Linked DNA regions of Saccharomyces cerevisiae S288C. The gene in region 2 interacts genetically with the main gene of each other region. Each region holds a gene or a part of one and is shown on either strand. Other genes may lie near its edges.

Region 1 (3,784 bases), on a different chromosome or scaffold from region 2:
AACTTCGCAAGAATCCTTGAAAAGTAGAATTGAGGATAAAAATGGTGATGTCGCTAGCCCGAAAGAGGATAACTATCCTCTATTGAATGAAACAGCGGCATGGCCAGATGGGGTGATTACCTCTGAAGAAGGATGTTCATCTTCAGGTGAGAAAGAGAATTCAGGCTTATGTTCAGAAGAAAGTTCAGAAGAAGATCCAGAAGAAGCTGAAGAGGAATCTGCAAGGGCTTTTGGAGAGTTAGTTGCAGTCTTGCGGGACAAAGACATACCACTGAATGTATTGGACGAACCTCAGATGAAAGATTGGCTTGAAAAATACACCGGTGTTTATAGAAGCTCTTGGCATGGTTGATTATGAAGAAAATTCCATAATTTTGCGAGGTGGGAGAATACTCTTGGGAAAGTGTTGAGAACAAAAACGCCACTAAAAACAGCAGGATTATTAAAAAGTAAAAAAAAAAAATTCCTTTTCAAGCAGGCAAACAATGGGTTATTTGAATGGAGAAGTATGCTACTATTTCTGCATGTTGTGGATCTAAGGCGATGTGGGCCTAGATTCTTTCCTTTTTTTGTTTTTACCTTAATTATCTTACGTTGTTCTTTCCGTCAGTTTTACACCTGACATGGGACAAGAGAACAAATTGTGAAATAAGTTCAAGCCTCTGTTGACATTTATTGATGTATCTATTTCTTTGAGGGTTAATTAAAGATAACAAATTGCTTTCTTCCGCTAATTTGAGCCTATTGAATTTACTGGGAAATGCCAACGTGGTCAGACATCAATTCAAGAAGTTTAGTTCTCAGAGAGTGTAACTTGCCTGTTTGGTCGCTGCAGTGAAACTGCCATTAGCTCTTTAGAACAACGTTCTAACTATACGAGGACCATATTACGTAAATCAACAAACCTCAAGAATTAGTGTCATATTTTCTCGCAGATATTACTACTGACATTCAGTCAGCTATATCCATTATGCATGAGCGAAAAAAAAGTGCATACAAAAAAGCTTATTTATTGGACTTAATAAACGAAACTATGTAGTGCCGAACCTTCGGATACTGATCATTGGAGTGATTTGATAAAGTTTCTGCAGAATTCTGGGAAATGAAGGAAATGACGTAGCGAGGCCTTCATGCAACACTAGTTGAAATTGAAAAAAAAAAAAACCTTATAAGCTATCTTTCCTATACGTCCTCTATCGACTATATAACCCAAGCAGCTGTTTCATATTTTTTGCAAGAATAACCTCCAAATATTCCTGGCAGCTTGTATGCCATTGTTATCCAGCTCCTGGCACTGTCTTTCGTATCTATTAAACTCTTCAAGGGTAAGCTTGTCTTGAGACTTCAAAAGCCCCTTCTGAGCGACATCACTATTGAATTCAGGGTGTCCTTGAAACGTCAGCACTCTGTTTTGCCTGTAAAATCCTTGGTTTTGACATTTTTCACTTGACGCCCAATTTTGGTATCCCTCTGGGACATCGAACACGCAGTCACTGTGCACTTCAGAAAGATTTAATTCTTGAGCACCAAATAACTTTTGACCCACAGAGTTCAGTTTTAGTGACACAACCCCACCTTCAAACCCTTTCGGATTCCGTCCAACTGAACTTCCTAGAGCAGCCGCGATAACTTGATGACCAAAACATATTCCAGCTACGGGCGGATATTCAGTCTTGCTAGTTAGCATCTCATTTAAGAAACTTCTTAATTTCATAATCCATTCAATTTCATTATCAAATGAATCATATTTTGAACCAGTGATGTATATGCCTAAATACTCATCTTTCTGAAGATCTGACAATTGAGGGAACACGTTTTTTTGTACGTGGAACACTTCATATTCGACATCTTCTGCGATACATTCCAATTTCCTGGTCTGTTCTAATAGCTTGATAGCCATATCAACAAAATTGCCCCATGGTTTACTCCATTCGTTATCTTCATCTGTATAAAGAATAGCTATTTTTTTTACTGTCATTATGATGTTTTCTTAGTATTTTTTTGATATAATTCAATTCTAATATATGTTAATGCATAATTTTCAGAGCTATAGCGGTATATATTTCAAACTTTCTCAATTATCTATGTGAAATTATAAACCTTATCTGTCTTTTCTTCTGTACACCTCATCTGCCACTTCCCACTTTGGCGCGCGTTGACATTTTGCGACAAAAAGAGATTGTTCGTGGCAGTCGTGTAAAAAACTGCACCTCAATCATGAGTTTTTATGCCCATTTTTCACTATTTCATATGAACCATTGGCAATGTACTTCAGCCTACCCTCATCGGCCAGAGTGTTTAAATATCCCTCTAATTGTTGAAGAGTAATTCGGTTATATCCCCAATCTTTTGGCACGGTAATTTTCAAAAAAGAATGGATCTTATGAAGTTTCATTGCGCCTAAATTAGTCAGCATTCCTTCGATGAATGGCAGACTTCTTTGAAGTGTCAATTCATATTTTCTTTCTATCTCAGAATCGTTATGTAGTTCATAGTTACTGTTCTCAATCTCCATTGGGGCGGTCTTTTGTGCTTGATCAAAATCCATCTCGCTATGTTCAATAACGGAATAGGTTCCATTTTCTTTTAAAAGCACACCTTTTTGAATCCAGAAATCTAACAAATGAGTTAGCCTGGGAGGAGCAATATTTAGTGACTCAGAAAGCTGCTCTAGTGATAAACAAATTGGCTCATCATTTGGAGAATCAAACTGATTTATTACGCTGCATTGTTCTAAAGAAACGTCTAACACTAATTTCCTACCATCTTTGAAAGCTAATTGTATTTCTACTTTTCCTTTATCTTTGCATAGTTGTAACTTGCGCCCAGGTTTCAGCTGTGAGTATATATCAGAATACTTCTGTAGCTCCCTTTCTAAATCTATTGGTAAATGAAATGCAAGATCATTAGAACCTTGTGTATCGCAGTTGTACTTCCAGTAGAGGAGTGAGATAAATTTTGGAAATATTATGGGATCCAGTCCGGCTACTTCATGCATTTTACGGCAGAGCTCCTCGCTACATTTTATATCCCAAAGCATAACATCAATGCTATTCAAATTCGACTGGTCTGCATCTGCTGCAGGGGCTGTTGTTTCTAGGAGTCCTAATATACCGTTTGTTATATAATTGGAATGACTTGTTTCTGTGAATTTGACTATTTTTTCTCTTATTAATTTCAAACATCGGGTCCATTTTTCATCCAACGTATAAAATTTCAAAGTGAATAATCTGTCGGTTAAGAGATTTCGAAATTCTGATATGAAAAATTCTCTTGATTCAAATAGATCCAAAAGCACCTCAAACAAATTTGTCTTAATATAACTTGATTTGATGTTACCGGGAATCATGTCATTAGGCTCTGGTACCCAAGCTATATAATAATTGAGTATATGTTCGTATAGCATGGCGTGTCTTATTGGTAGGTCCTTGTTCAATTCCCTCTTTCCTTTCACCTTGAGGTTCCATAGAAAGGGGCTTTTTTTATTCTTGTCCCTTTTGGTGATGTTCGTATCTTGATTGATATCAGAATCGTGCAAAGTGTCTACAAGTGAGAGCAGTGCCTTCATATCTACATTGAAATTAATTTTCTCCTTTAGTTCTTCTTCAGGTAAGTCCAACATTGCGTATAACAATACATTTACTAAGTGCTTCCGCTCCTGAAAGTAAGGTTTAACAAACGTGGTTATTGAATGTAGGCATCTCCCTGTTGGATCCAGGACCAAAAATGCTTTGATAGTTTTAACATATCTCAACAAAGCGTCCACCGTAGTTACGCTGGGGTT
Region 2 (6,522 bases):
ACATATATATATATACTGTGTATATTCAAATGGTGGCCTTTAGCCCATACCGAATTGTTTTGCCATTTGTTGCATTTGTGGATCTTGCATCATTTTCATCATTTCGTTCATATCAGGCATTCCTCCGCCCATTCCTCCGCCCATTCCGCCACCAAACATGTTCATCATATTTTGCATTAGACCTGGATTTTGCTTCAGCTTTTGTTGTGCCTGCTGCATCATTTGTGGAGTCACTTTTGGCATACCAGGCATATTCGGCATACCAGGCATGTTTGGCATACCCGGCATGTTTGGCATGCCAGGCATCCTAGCATTGGCACCAGGGGCTCCTGGTTGTTGCTGGGTTGCGGTTTGTGCCATTCTTGCCATCATCTGCTGTTGCATCAATATCATTTCTACCTCGAACACAGAAGTACCTGAACCTTTAGCTACACGAACCATTCTTGTAGGCTCTTCAATGAACATTCTACCATCAGATTCTAGTTCTTCTTTAGTCATAGAATCCAAAACGTAAACCATTTTCTTCATCTTTTGAGAGGTTTCCTCCTCCCCTACTTGATTCATCATATTACTCATACCAGGAATCATCTGCGCTATATTTGATAATGGACCCATTTTCATTATTGTTTGCATCTGTTTCTTGAAATCTAGCAAGGTGAACTTACCCTTTTGGATGTTTTCCATTGTGGCTTTTGCATCTTCCTTGTTGGAAACGGTTTGTAATTGCTCAAAGAGACTCTCTATATCACCAATACCCAACAGTTTAGATATGAATGACTTAGGCGAGAACTTTTCCAAATCATGAATGTGCTCACCTGTACCAATAAAGATAATCGGAGTGTTTGTGGCTGCAACGGCCGAAATTGCCCCACCCCCTCTAGCGTGGCCGTCCATCTTGGTTAATATAATGGCACCAAAATCGGACGATTCTTTGAAAGCCTTGGATTGTTGCTCTGCAGCTTGACCAATGGAAGCATCTAAAACCATGATAGTTTGATTAGGCTTGATGACATTGGATATTTCAATCATTTCTTGGAACAACTCTTCTTCTTGATGATGCCTACCTGAAGTATCAACGATGATGATATCAAACTTCTCTTTCTTAAACTTGTTAATACCTTCTTCTGCAACTTTGGCAGGGTCAGTCTCCGTATATGACCCATAAAATGGAATTCTTGCTCTTATAGCGTTTTGTTTCAATTGGTCAAATGCACCAGCACGGAAAGTATCCGCACATACCAAACCCACTTTGAAACCTCTCTTCGAGTAGTAAACTGCTAACTTGGTACAGGAAGTAGTTTTACCTGAACCTTGCAGCCCAACAAACATGATGATGTTTGTCTTTCTCTTCTTGGGCACAAAGGCCTTCTCTTCACTACCTTCGCAGGTGACCAACTTACACAGTTCATCAAACACCGTTTTCTGAATAAGCTTCTTAGTTTGTGCGTTTGTTGTGGACTTCTCACTACGGTTCTCACTCAGCAGCTGTGACCTTATATTATTTCGTAACTTAGAAACCAGGGCAATATTCACATCCGATTCTAACAACGCAGTCACGATGCCCTTTAACATTACATCTACGGATGTAGTAAAGTCATCCTGTGTATTGGAAATCGCGTTATTCACAGCAGAATTAATCCGCTTCCCCAAATCAGCCAAAACCATCCTTTAGTTAGACTCGATGCTGTGTTTTCTTTCCCTTCTCTTCTGCATCCTTGCTGTTCAACCACTTTTCATTATCTTGTTTTACCACTATTTTTTTTCACTTTGTTGATGTCTTTATCGTTAGCGGTGATTTTTCGATATTGAGATGAACGAAAAGACCATCATACTATAACAATATGGGTAGTGACTGAAGTATAGGAGAGCCGCAATTGCCGGTCTACAGAACTCACAAGGCATTCGTGAACAATGAACAGTGTTTGGGATGATGCTAGAATAGAGGACAGAACGGTGGACAAACCAGTAGGCTCCTCTCACGCTCAGGAGAAACTCGCGCTGGTAAAATCAACTTTGTTTAAACTTGACCAAGAAGATAGACCAGAATGCGATTCCTGGGTACAACTAGTCAAATTGATCTGCGACGAAGACCGTGAAGAAGAATTTACTACATTCAAGGAGTTATTAAGGGAAGTCAAAAACGTTAATGATAAATCCGTCACAGGCGTTGCCTTGATTCATTATATCATTGTATTTGATCGTGCAGACTACATTGAGTTACTACATGATAATCCTTCTGGTGCAAAATTAGATTTGAATCTTGTCGACGACATTGTAGGTTACACACCTTTGATGTGGAGTTTCAGTCTGCAGAGAAGGAACTGTTGCTTGGAGCTGTTCAACGCATTCGACGAGATAAACTTCAACATGACGAATAAGGCTGGATTAACCGCTTGGGATATGGTTCCTCCATATTCACCACTTTCGGAATTTTTGGAACAAAACAATATGTTTCGATACCGTACCGAAGTAAAACATGAAATACCTCAAATTTCCCAACCGAAAGACACCTCTCTTCTAATGAGTAATGAAGACTCTACCACGAAAGAAACTTTTGATAATATTGACTTACAAGTCGCCGGTTTGACCCTGTCCCCTGGTGCAAATGACAACATGTTTCTGGATTCTGATGAAAAGAACATGAATCATTCTCAGGGAGCTGCAACCCTAATAGATCCCACATATACAGAAGACTACCACGGTACATTTGATTATGATAAACTATCTCCGGACCAATACTTGGAATTTTCCGACTTTGATATACCACAAATCCTGAATCTATTGATATCGCTACCACAAAAGGAACCTCACATGACCACCTATCCAGCTGGTTTAATATACCAATGTATTAGATATGCTGATCATAAGATAAAGTCCAAGCCACTAGTAGAATCGTTAATTAACTTATCTCTAACAAAAATTCTGACCAGTGTTTCATCCAACGGAGCTGCAGGATTGGTCTCCACAGAAGCTTCTTTGCAAGCAGGTGACATTGTATTGCAATCGTATTGGTTAAGTTGTTTATCTTTTCTCTATTACTACCTCTGTAGAGATGATTCATTTTTCAAGAGGCATCCAAGCGTGTTACAAGAGCTGATTAACACCATCCACTCTATTATCATAGAACTGACATCTTCCATTCATTGCAGGTTGATTTCTTTGATAGATTCAACTTTACTAGCATACACAACAATCCAGGACGTTAAACAAACTTTATACAAAAGAGACTGGAACTTTTTTAAAAAGAGAAAGCAGGCCAAGCTTTTATTGAAGGAAAAGAACAGAAAACAATTAAAGGAACAACAAAAGAAAGAACTTCATCGAAAAAGCCAGGGTCAAGAAAATCATGAAGAAGAGGAGGGTCAACAAGATGGGAATGATTCAGATGATAGGGCATCAACAAATGATGATAACAATTCTAGTGTTTCACTCTTTTATGATAAAGAAATTTTGAGACATTTATATCCTCCATCATTCGAAGAGCAGATGAAACCCTCTCCACTAAAGATTGTTCAAATATTTGGTGCCTTGTCTTACGTTCTTAATTTACATCAAACGCATCCGATTTTCCAACAACAGTGTCTCTCTATTTCAGTTAACTGGTTTGCCACGACCTTATTCAATAAGATCTTAAAGGACAAAAAGAAAAGATCTTTATCAAGAGCCCATGCTATTCAAATCAGGTTAAATCTTTCAACTCTAGAATCATGGATACAGAACAACGATTTCTGTGTTCCTAAACCGATGCTTATTGATGACTTCATGTGGCAGCGCTTTCCAATGACTTTAATTCGCGACGTTGGCGAGATAGATTTATCGGATCCGATACTAAGAAATGTAGCAACTTACAAACCTATAGATGAAAATAACAAGGACTTGATATATGATACGTCAAACTCATTATTTTACTACCAACCTTTCCATAAGATCGCCCAAATTCATCTTGAGCCAGTTTTCCAACTATTACAATGGTTGCAAGTAGCTACAACACTAGATAGTGAAGAATCATTAATATCAACAATGAATTTATTACCAAGAATTACACCAGTACAGCTCCTAAAGTCTATGGAAAAATACAATTACGAATTGAATGAAAATAAATTCAACTCCAAACTGAAGAAATTTTTAAACAACAAAATCAAAGATAGTAAGATGAGCAAGGCAGACGCGTATTTACAAGAACATGAAATACCGTATCTAGTTTTACCAACTATACCCGAAATGACAGACTTGTATTCAAAGGGTCCTGATTCACATTCTTTCCAACCGTTTTTACCAGGCAGTATCCAAGACGATGTTTATGAAATTCACGATGTCAACTTCAAACAAAGACAAAATGAACCACAGATATCTCGGACTAACTCGGGTACCTCAGATTTTACTGGAGATGAGGATAAGGCGCAATATGAAACTGAAGGGGTAGGGGAAAGTATAGATATTAACGAAACAGTCGAACCCGAGAGCAACGCGTTCAATGTAGGTAATGATGATTATTTTAAAGAATTAAATATTCCGTCTTCAACTGCTCAACGTCCTGCTTGGTCGAATAATGATGATATGGAACAAAATCCGTGGTAATTTGTGCGTTAGAACAGTGAACTTTTGTATCGAACTTTATATAATAATTCTACGGATGTATCCATCTTATTTCTTTTCAAAAGAATGGAAGAATAGAAATGTAAATAATGAGTTAAAAGGGGCAGTTGCTTGATATTTTGACACGAATTTAGTTACAACATTTTGCATATAGCTTCAAGTGATATTTATTTATTTTTAATATAGTACCGTGGACTCACAGTTTGGGCTCTCGCTGTTCTTCAAATTCTAAATCTTGCTTGAAAAAGCCGTCATTAAAACGATTCTGAGAGGTCTTCTTAACAAAAGCTTGAGAGCTTTCAAGTTTTGAAGCTTTCACATGGGGATCACCATTTTTGAGCGAATTCTGAGAATCATTTGAGGATACAGAAAACTTTCTATTTTCTTTGTTCGCAAACATCTTTGAAGCATTCATATTTGAAGCCGACGGTGGAACTGGAAAATTCTCAGTGTCTTTTTCCTTCCTGCCTTCTAGTTTTGGAGATAGTGTATTTAACGGTTGTGAAGGCCTTCTTGGTACTGGTCTCCTATTAGAAATCATTTTTGGATTGGATGTAAGGATAGGATTATCTGATTCTCTCTCATCTGCTGAATCGTCATTTTTCTTATCTTGAACATCTATTTCATCCATATCTTCGGTGTCACTCGAATTACCAACATTATCCTTATACCATCTACCGATTTTCTTGATTGAATTCTTGAAGTATTTCCTTGACTTGGTAGAATTTTCAGAACTGGAAACATCATCATTAGTCGCGGTTGTGACTGTTGTCTGGGTTGTAGTTTTCGTTGCCACTCCAGATGCGTCAACAAGATCTTTTAGGTTTTCTTTCTTTCTCTCTGGCCTTAAGGCTTTTTTGATTCGACTCTGGGTTTTCATTCCGCCCTCTTGAAGTGCTTCTAAGTGTTCCTTAGCACTAGTATTATTCATATCTGAGGCTGCCGCAGCAGTGCGAGCCCTCGCCGCTGCCTCAGGATCCTGCTCCTCCCAAATACCACCTCTGTATACTTCATTAGGTGTTGGATAAAAAACAATATCATCCATAAACGGTACAACTAGGGACTCCTTCACGGCTTCGGCAAACTTACTCTTTATAGCGTTAGTAACGACGTTGTATGATAATTTACTTGAACTGACAATGGGCTCAATTTCAAAATCCATTATAGGTTCGGTGCGAAAAGCATACCAAATTCTGTTAGATGGAGGTGGTTTGATTAAAAATAAAAGTGGACCGGAAAATTCTTTAATTTTTATGGACAACTGCAAAGAAACCTCCCTTTGTTTGAAACGTGATCCCAAGTTAATACTCGCCTTTGTCGCAATAATAATTGTCAAGTTTCCCCTGTATTGAACGTCGATAGCAATCTTAGTCGAACCCTCAGGAGACAATTCTAATAACTCAGGAGAGGTGAATAATGGAGCACTATCACCCACGTCGACCTTTTCAACAACCAAATCATCCAAGAACCCTGGGGTTTTTATTTTATTCAATTTCTTGCAGATTTTCTCATGAATAAACTTATTCAACGTATCAGTTTGTTGCAGAGAAAGAAATAATCTCCCAAGAAGAGCATTCAGCCACTTAGTAGTTAACTGATTTTCAGTAGAGTTGATATCCTGAATCAATTGTAACATATCCTTAGTCTTCAAATGAGCTGCGTTAGCTGAAACATTAGGATCCAATAAACCAGTTGAGAGGGAATTACTGTTTTTAGAGGCATTGATCAACTGATAATACCAATCTTCTTTGTCCATGTTATTATCGAAATACAAGAAGAACTGATTTGAGCTATGGAATTGTGATTGATATTCATGTGTAGTGTCATTGGTAGAGATGTCACCGTTATTCGATTCAGCACTGGTAAGTGGGTCGAAGTGTGGCAGGATAACATTATGGTTTTTAGAGTCTATAGAAACGAGGTCAT
Region 3 (4,343 bases), on a different chromosome or scaffold from region 2:
TCTTAGTATGTTTTTACAGATATAACCTATCCTTCACTAACTTTGAAGAGAGAATTGCTATTTGAGAATTTCCAAACGTACATCAAGCAGTTTATATATCTAGTCCCCGTAACTACTGGGAGATCTAACCAAATAGCTTCTTTATTATATTCATTTCTCTGAGCAAAATAGATATTTTTGAAAAATTTTCCTCTAGTTTCTTTTCAGAGATGTCTCTCTATTATTAGCCTCATACAATACCGCCTAGGGCGATTCAGCAGAACAGTAATTATTCCGCTGTATTTCTTTTTCAGGTGCCTCAAACGTCTATAGAACAGCGCGCAGCAGGTTGAGAAAAATGTCAAAAATTCGATCCTTTCCTATCTTTTCTTTTTCGGACGCCAAAGCGCAGTATTCAACCGACGATGTTCGGGAAGCCACCCCCGAGATCATAATAACAGGTGCGTTGTGACTCTATTGTTAACACGAGGGAAAAGATGGAATAATTTTGGAGAAACACAATGTCGTTCTAGCGGGAAAAAAGGGCAAAACCAAAAAACACGGAGTCTGTCCAATATTAATTTGGTTAAAGCAGTTCGTATAACCAAACTTTATTGGCATTGTCCGTCGACTAGTCTATTTTTATTTCTCTCAACCTTTCGAGTACTTGGAAAAAGGAGTAGATCCGCTTTCAGCAATCGAAGCAATAGGCATTAGGGGTAGAGCAATCCTCAAAATCCTTGTGCCTCGACTGTGGGTTCTAGTATGATCGCTATTTTTTCTTATTCTTTCCTAGTTAAAGCAATAGTTGTTCGTTCTATAAGTTTTTCCGCGAGATCGTGGAAATACCTTAAAAAAGACGCGTGTATGGCTCCTGCATGCGAATCTTCTCTTTTGCTTTGTAATCGCATGTGAGATAATCAAGGGATTGTAGCCATTGTTTTCGAAAAATAATAAAATGACCGCACTTTATCCTCCACGGAGCGGAAGGCCATTCCCGTACGCATATTAATGTAAATGAGATAAATAACCAAATAAGTACCGCCACATCGGATTTTTAACCTTGATATGGTGCGGGGGTGGGGTAACAGTTTAGGATCTTGAAGTAATGCTAGCAACAGAGGTAGTAGCAGTAAATAAGATAAAAAAGACCTTCGAGGGTTTTTTTTTTGATTATATATTTGATATAGTACTAAGTGTCCTACCTTGAATGATGGTTTGTACTCAATAGTATTACTTCATATTATGCCTGACGTCCATCTTTTTTGGAAAGCCCCCATTTGTCATAACCGTACAATCCGGCAATTGTCAAGATAACACCAAACACCTGAAAAAAATTTAACTTTGTTTCCCAAAAGAGTGCCACGGATATAACAACAATCCTCTTCATGATGTTTGCTACCGAATAATTAATGGAAGATAGTAAACCGATCAACTGGAAAGCAAGCATTGCTTGGAAAAAATGGGCTATTCCATGAATCGCTACAAGGGCTACTGTTTCTAGCGTTAAATCGTTGATAACGCTACCGCCATGCATTAATTCGCCGGTTAAAAAAGGTAATAGGGTTAAAGAAAACCCAATGCAGGAGCAGTAGAACAATATGGTAATCTTATCCACTTGCAATGGAGAAAATCTTGTTTTGTCTAGACTCGGTTGCCCTTCCTTCGACGTGACGTCATCCGTAGAAGAAGACGGCAGTATTCCTACCTTCCTTCTGATGGTTAAAATATTCTTTGCAAAAATATTCTGTGCTACAAATATTATCATGGAAATAAAGGCAAAAAGCAACCCGATTAATGAAGATCCGCTTTTGTTATCTGAAGCCCTCTTACTGCCATGTGTTGACCAGCAAGTAGTCATAACGCCAAAAATTAAAAGTAACAAGGTATAATAAGTCATGGAATTGTAATAACGATGTTCGAAAAATTTATAGTAGCCAACTGTTATTATTGGGGATAATGCCTTCACGGAATGCACTAGTGATACTGGTATCATAGATACCGCCTTGTGCGATGTGATATGACCAATAAATTGGAATATTCCCATAGGGAAAGTGGTCATCAAAACCAGCTTTGAGGGAACTAAAAACTTGTGCAGGATAGAACTCCTGAAATTGCCATCGAGATATTCAGGAAGGATACCGTCAGGGAAACTATTGAGTGCCTTTGAAAACTTCGTATGCTTCAAACGAGGTAGTCGGAATAAATTTACGATGGAAGCAAATCCAACACATAGAACAGCACTAACAAGAAATTGCAATTCTGTGAGAGCTATGGGATGGTTGAAAGTTCTTAAAATGGCTTTAGATAGGTTACTTGAAATAGATGACGTGACGTACCATATAGAACAAATAATGGTTATTCTTAGGTCAACTTCAGGTAAGTACCCTTGTATATTACTAGGAAATAGTTGCGTGAATCTTTTTTTAAGGCTAGTAATATCATATCCAAAGACTTGATTACTGAATGTCTCCTTACTGTATTCTTTTTTTTGGTGTTGGAACCCCCCACGTGGTGGTTCTGGTATTTGATACAGTGATGGATCAAAGAGGTTTTTATGAACAGAATTACGTCGTTTGATCGCTGTACTTTGCGTTTGAATCATGTTAGGCCGGTATTGTTTCTCCTTTATAAAAACGAATGGCTCCTTATTAAACACTTTTATCGTCAATCCACTTACTCTCTAAATATCGTAAGCTTTGCATATATAAGCATATAATAAAAATAGTTGGTATATGCTGCACGTGTAGTCTAATGTTCTTTTCTTTTTTTTCTTTATTCTTTTTTCTCCTCTTTATGAATACAGATATTCAATTTTTTGAATATCTGATTGTTTTTATTTTCATTTCAATTTTTTTTTTTTTTCAATTTTTTTTATCCGATCGTTGCGCCAAGCTTCTATCGCTTAAAACAATGACACTTCGCTGTGAAATGACACAATGGCTTGAGATTCAGGCACAACGCAAAAGGTCTTTACAAATGTATATCACAGAATATTAATGTTTGAAAAGTACTTCCGAATTCAAGGCCACCACGTAGCCTTATACACCAAATACAATTATACACAGGTTTCAAACTTGAGAAAAACAAGATATTGAATATTAAAAGCTGGGGCTAGTAGAATTTGCTGATTAGGTTAATTGTCATCAAATTCAAACAAACTACCATTTTCAGGGGTATTTTTCCTTGCTTCAATTCTGGATTTCATTTTTGCTCTCTTTTTCTTGTTGCTTTTTGTACCATGAAATTTCTGTGACAGTTTTTTATATGCCTCCTTAGTAGTCAGTCGATTTCCCTTTTCGTCTCTGTAAACCAGTTTTATGTCAGGATCATAATGATCTTGTCTTTTTGAATGAGTATTTGCATTGGAAGAGTCACTAGATGTGAATTGTTCCAGTCCGTGTAGCTTATCTTTTGTATAAGTGCCAGTGCCCGTATGCTCTTTATTTCGGACATCCCTTCGAAGTGATTCACTATTATTAACATCCTTTCCTGGTTTCAAATCGACGTCTCCTGTGGTGAAAACACTCTTTTTCCGAAGATATCCTAGTGTTGATGCAAGACCAGAAAAAAAGTTCGGTGCATTTTCAGCATCTCCCTCGTAGTTTGGTTCATTATTAACTGCTTCAGTCAGTGTATTGTTTCCACTCCCTTCCTTAGTATGTCCATTGGTAACATCTCCGATATTTTTCTCTCCTTCACCATGCACTTTCACTTTATTCTCAGTAGCACTTCGTTCGGAGAGACTGGTATCCAAAGTATTTAAAAAAGTTACCTTTTCGTCGACGACAATACTGTTGGAAATTTCACGCATTTTCAAAATGCTTTCAGTGCGTCGCTTCTCTTCGTCTCTTGCCTTTTCAATTTCTCTAGCGAGGTCCTCTGGCCCTTTCAATTCATTGTTTGAGCTTGTTCTGGGATTTATTATGGTGACTGGCTGTTCTTCTTCCATCCAGGATAAACTTTCATCTTCATCTACTAACTTAACAATTTCCATCTTATCAGTAATTTTTGACTTCCTAGCTTTAGTAGATCTTGGGTCCTTGATCTTACGTTTTTTAATTTTTAAAGGTTTAAAGTCTCCACCATCTTCATCTGACATATTATTTGCGCTATCGAAATTCACTTTAACTTTTCCCGTTGGTGGTTTTGCTGATATAGTATTCGGTGCCTTCATAACACCCTGTTCTGCTCCGATGATTAGATGTGTAGTTGTAATTGAGTGTTTCTCTCCTTCTTCTTCTTCTTCAATATCTAAGCTAGATACATTTAAAATTTTTTTTTTTTGTCTTCTATCTTTATTCATTTGTCGTAATCGTAGTTTCTCTCTATCAGCGTTTTCCTCGGCAGCTTTCACATTCTCT

The links. A genetic interaction does not mean that the proteins touch.
Region 1: mutations in YPR089W (region 2) and YLR126C together harm fitness more than expected from each alone (negative genetic interaction), as found in Saccharomyces cerevisiae (2 studies listed by BioGRID).
Region 3: mutations in YPR089W (region 2) and SLY41 together harm fitness more than expected from each alone (negative genetic interaction), as found in Saccharomyces cerevisiae (2 studies listed by BioGRID).

What each region holds. Positions count from the first base shown.
Region 1 is NC_001144.5:393,543-397,326, forward strand, and holds YLR126C (putative amidotransferase), read right to left. Parts: upstream 1,979-3,784; coding exon 1,223-1,978; downstream 1-1,222. Other genes in the region: YLR125W (uncharacterized protein), read left to right, coding at 1-352; APC2 (anaphase promoting complex subunit 2), read right to left, coding at 2,216-3,784. UniProt on the Saccharomyces cerevisiae protein: May have a role in copper and iron homeostasis.
Region 2 is NC_001148.4:711,364-717,885, forward strand, and holds YPR089W (uncharacterized protein), read left to right. Parts: upstream 1-1,911; coding exon 1,912-4,578; downstream 4,579-6,522. Other genes in the region: RNA-binding signal recognition particle subunit SRP54, read right to left, coding at 40-1,665; NVJ2 (Nvj2p), read right to left, coding at 4,793-6,522.
Region 3 is NC_001147.6:891,509-895,851, forward strand, and holds SLY41 (Sly41p), read right to left. Parts: upstream 2,585-4,343; coding exon 1,223-2,584; downstream 1-1,222. Other genes in the region: U4/U6-U5 snRNP complex subunit SNU66, read right to left, coding at 3,116-4,343. UniProt on the Saccharomyces cerevisiae protein: Able to suppress the functional loss of YPT1. May form a channel. Protein SLY41 is not essential for cell viability. The SLY41 gene is a multicopy suppressor.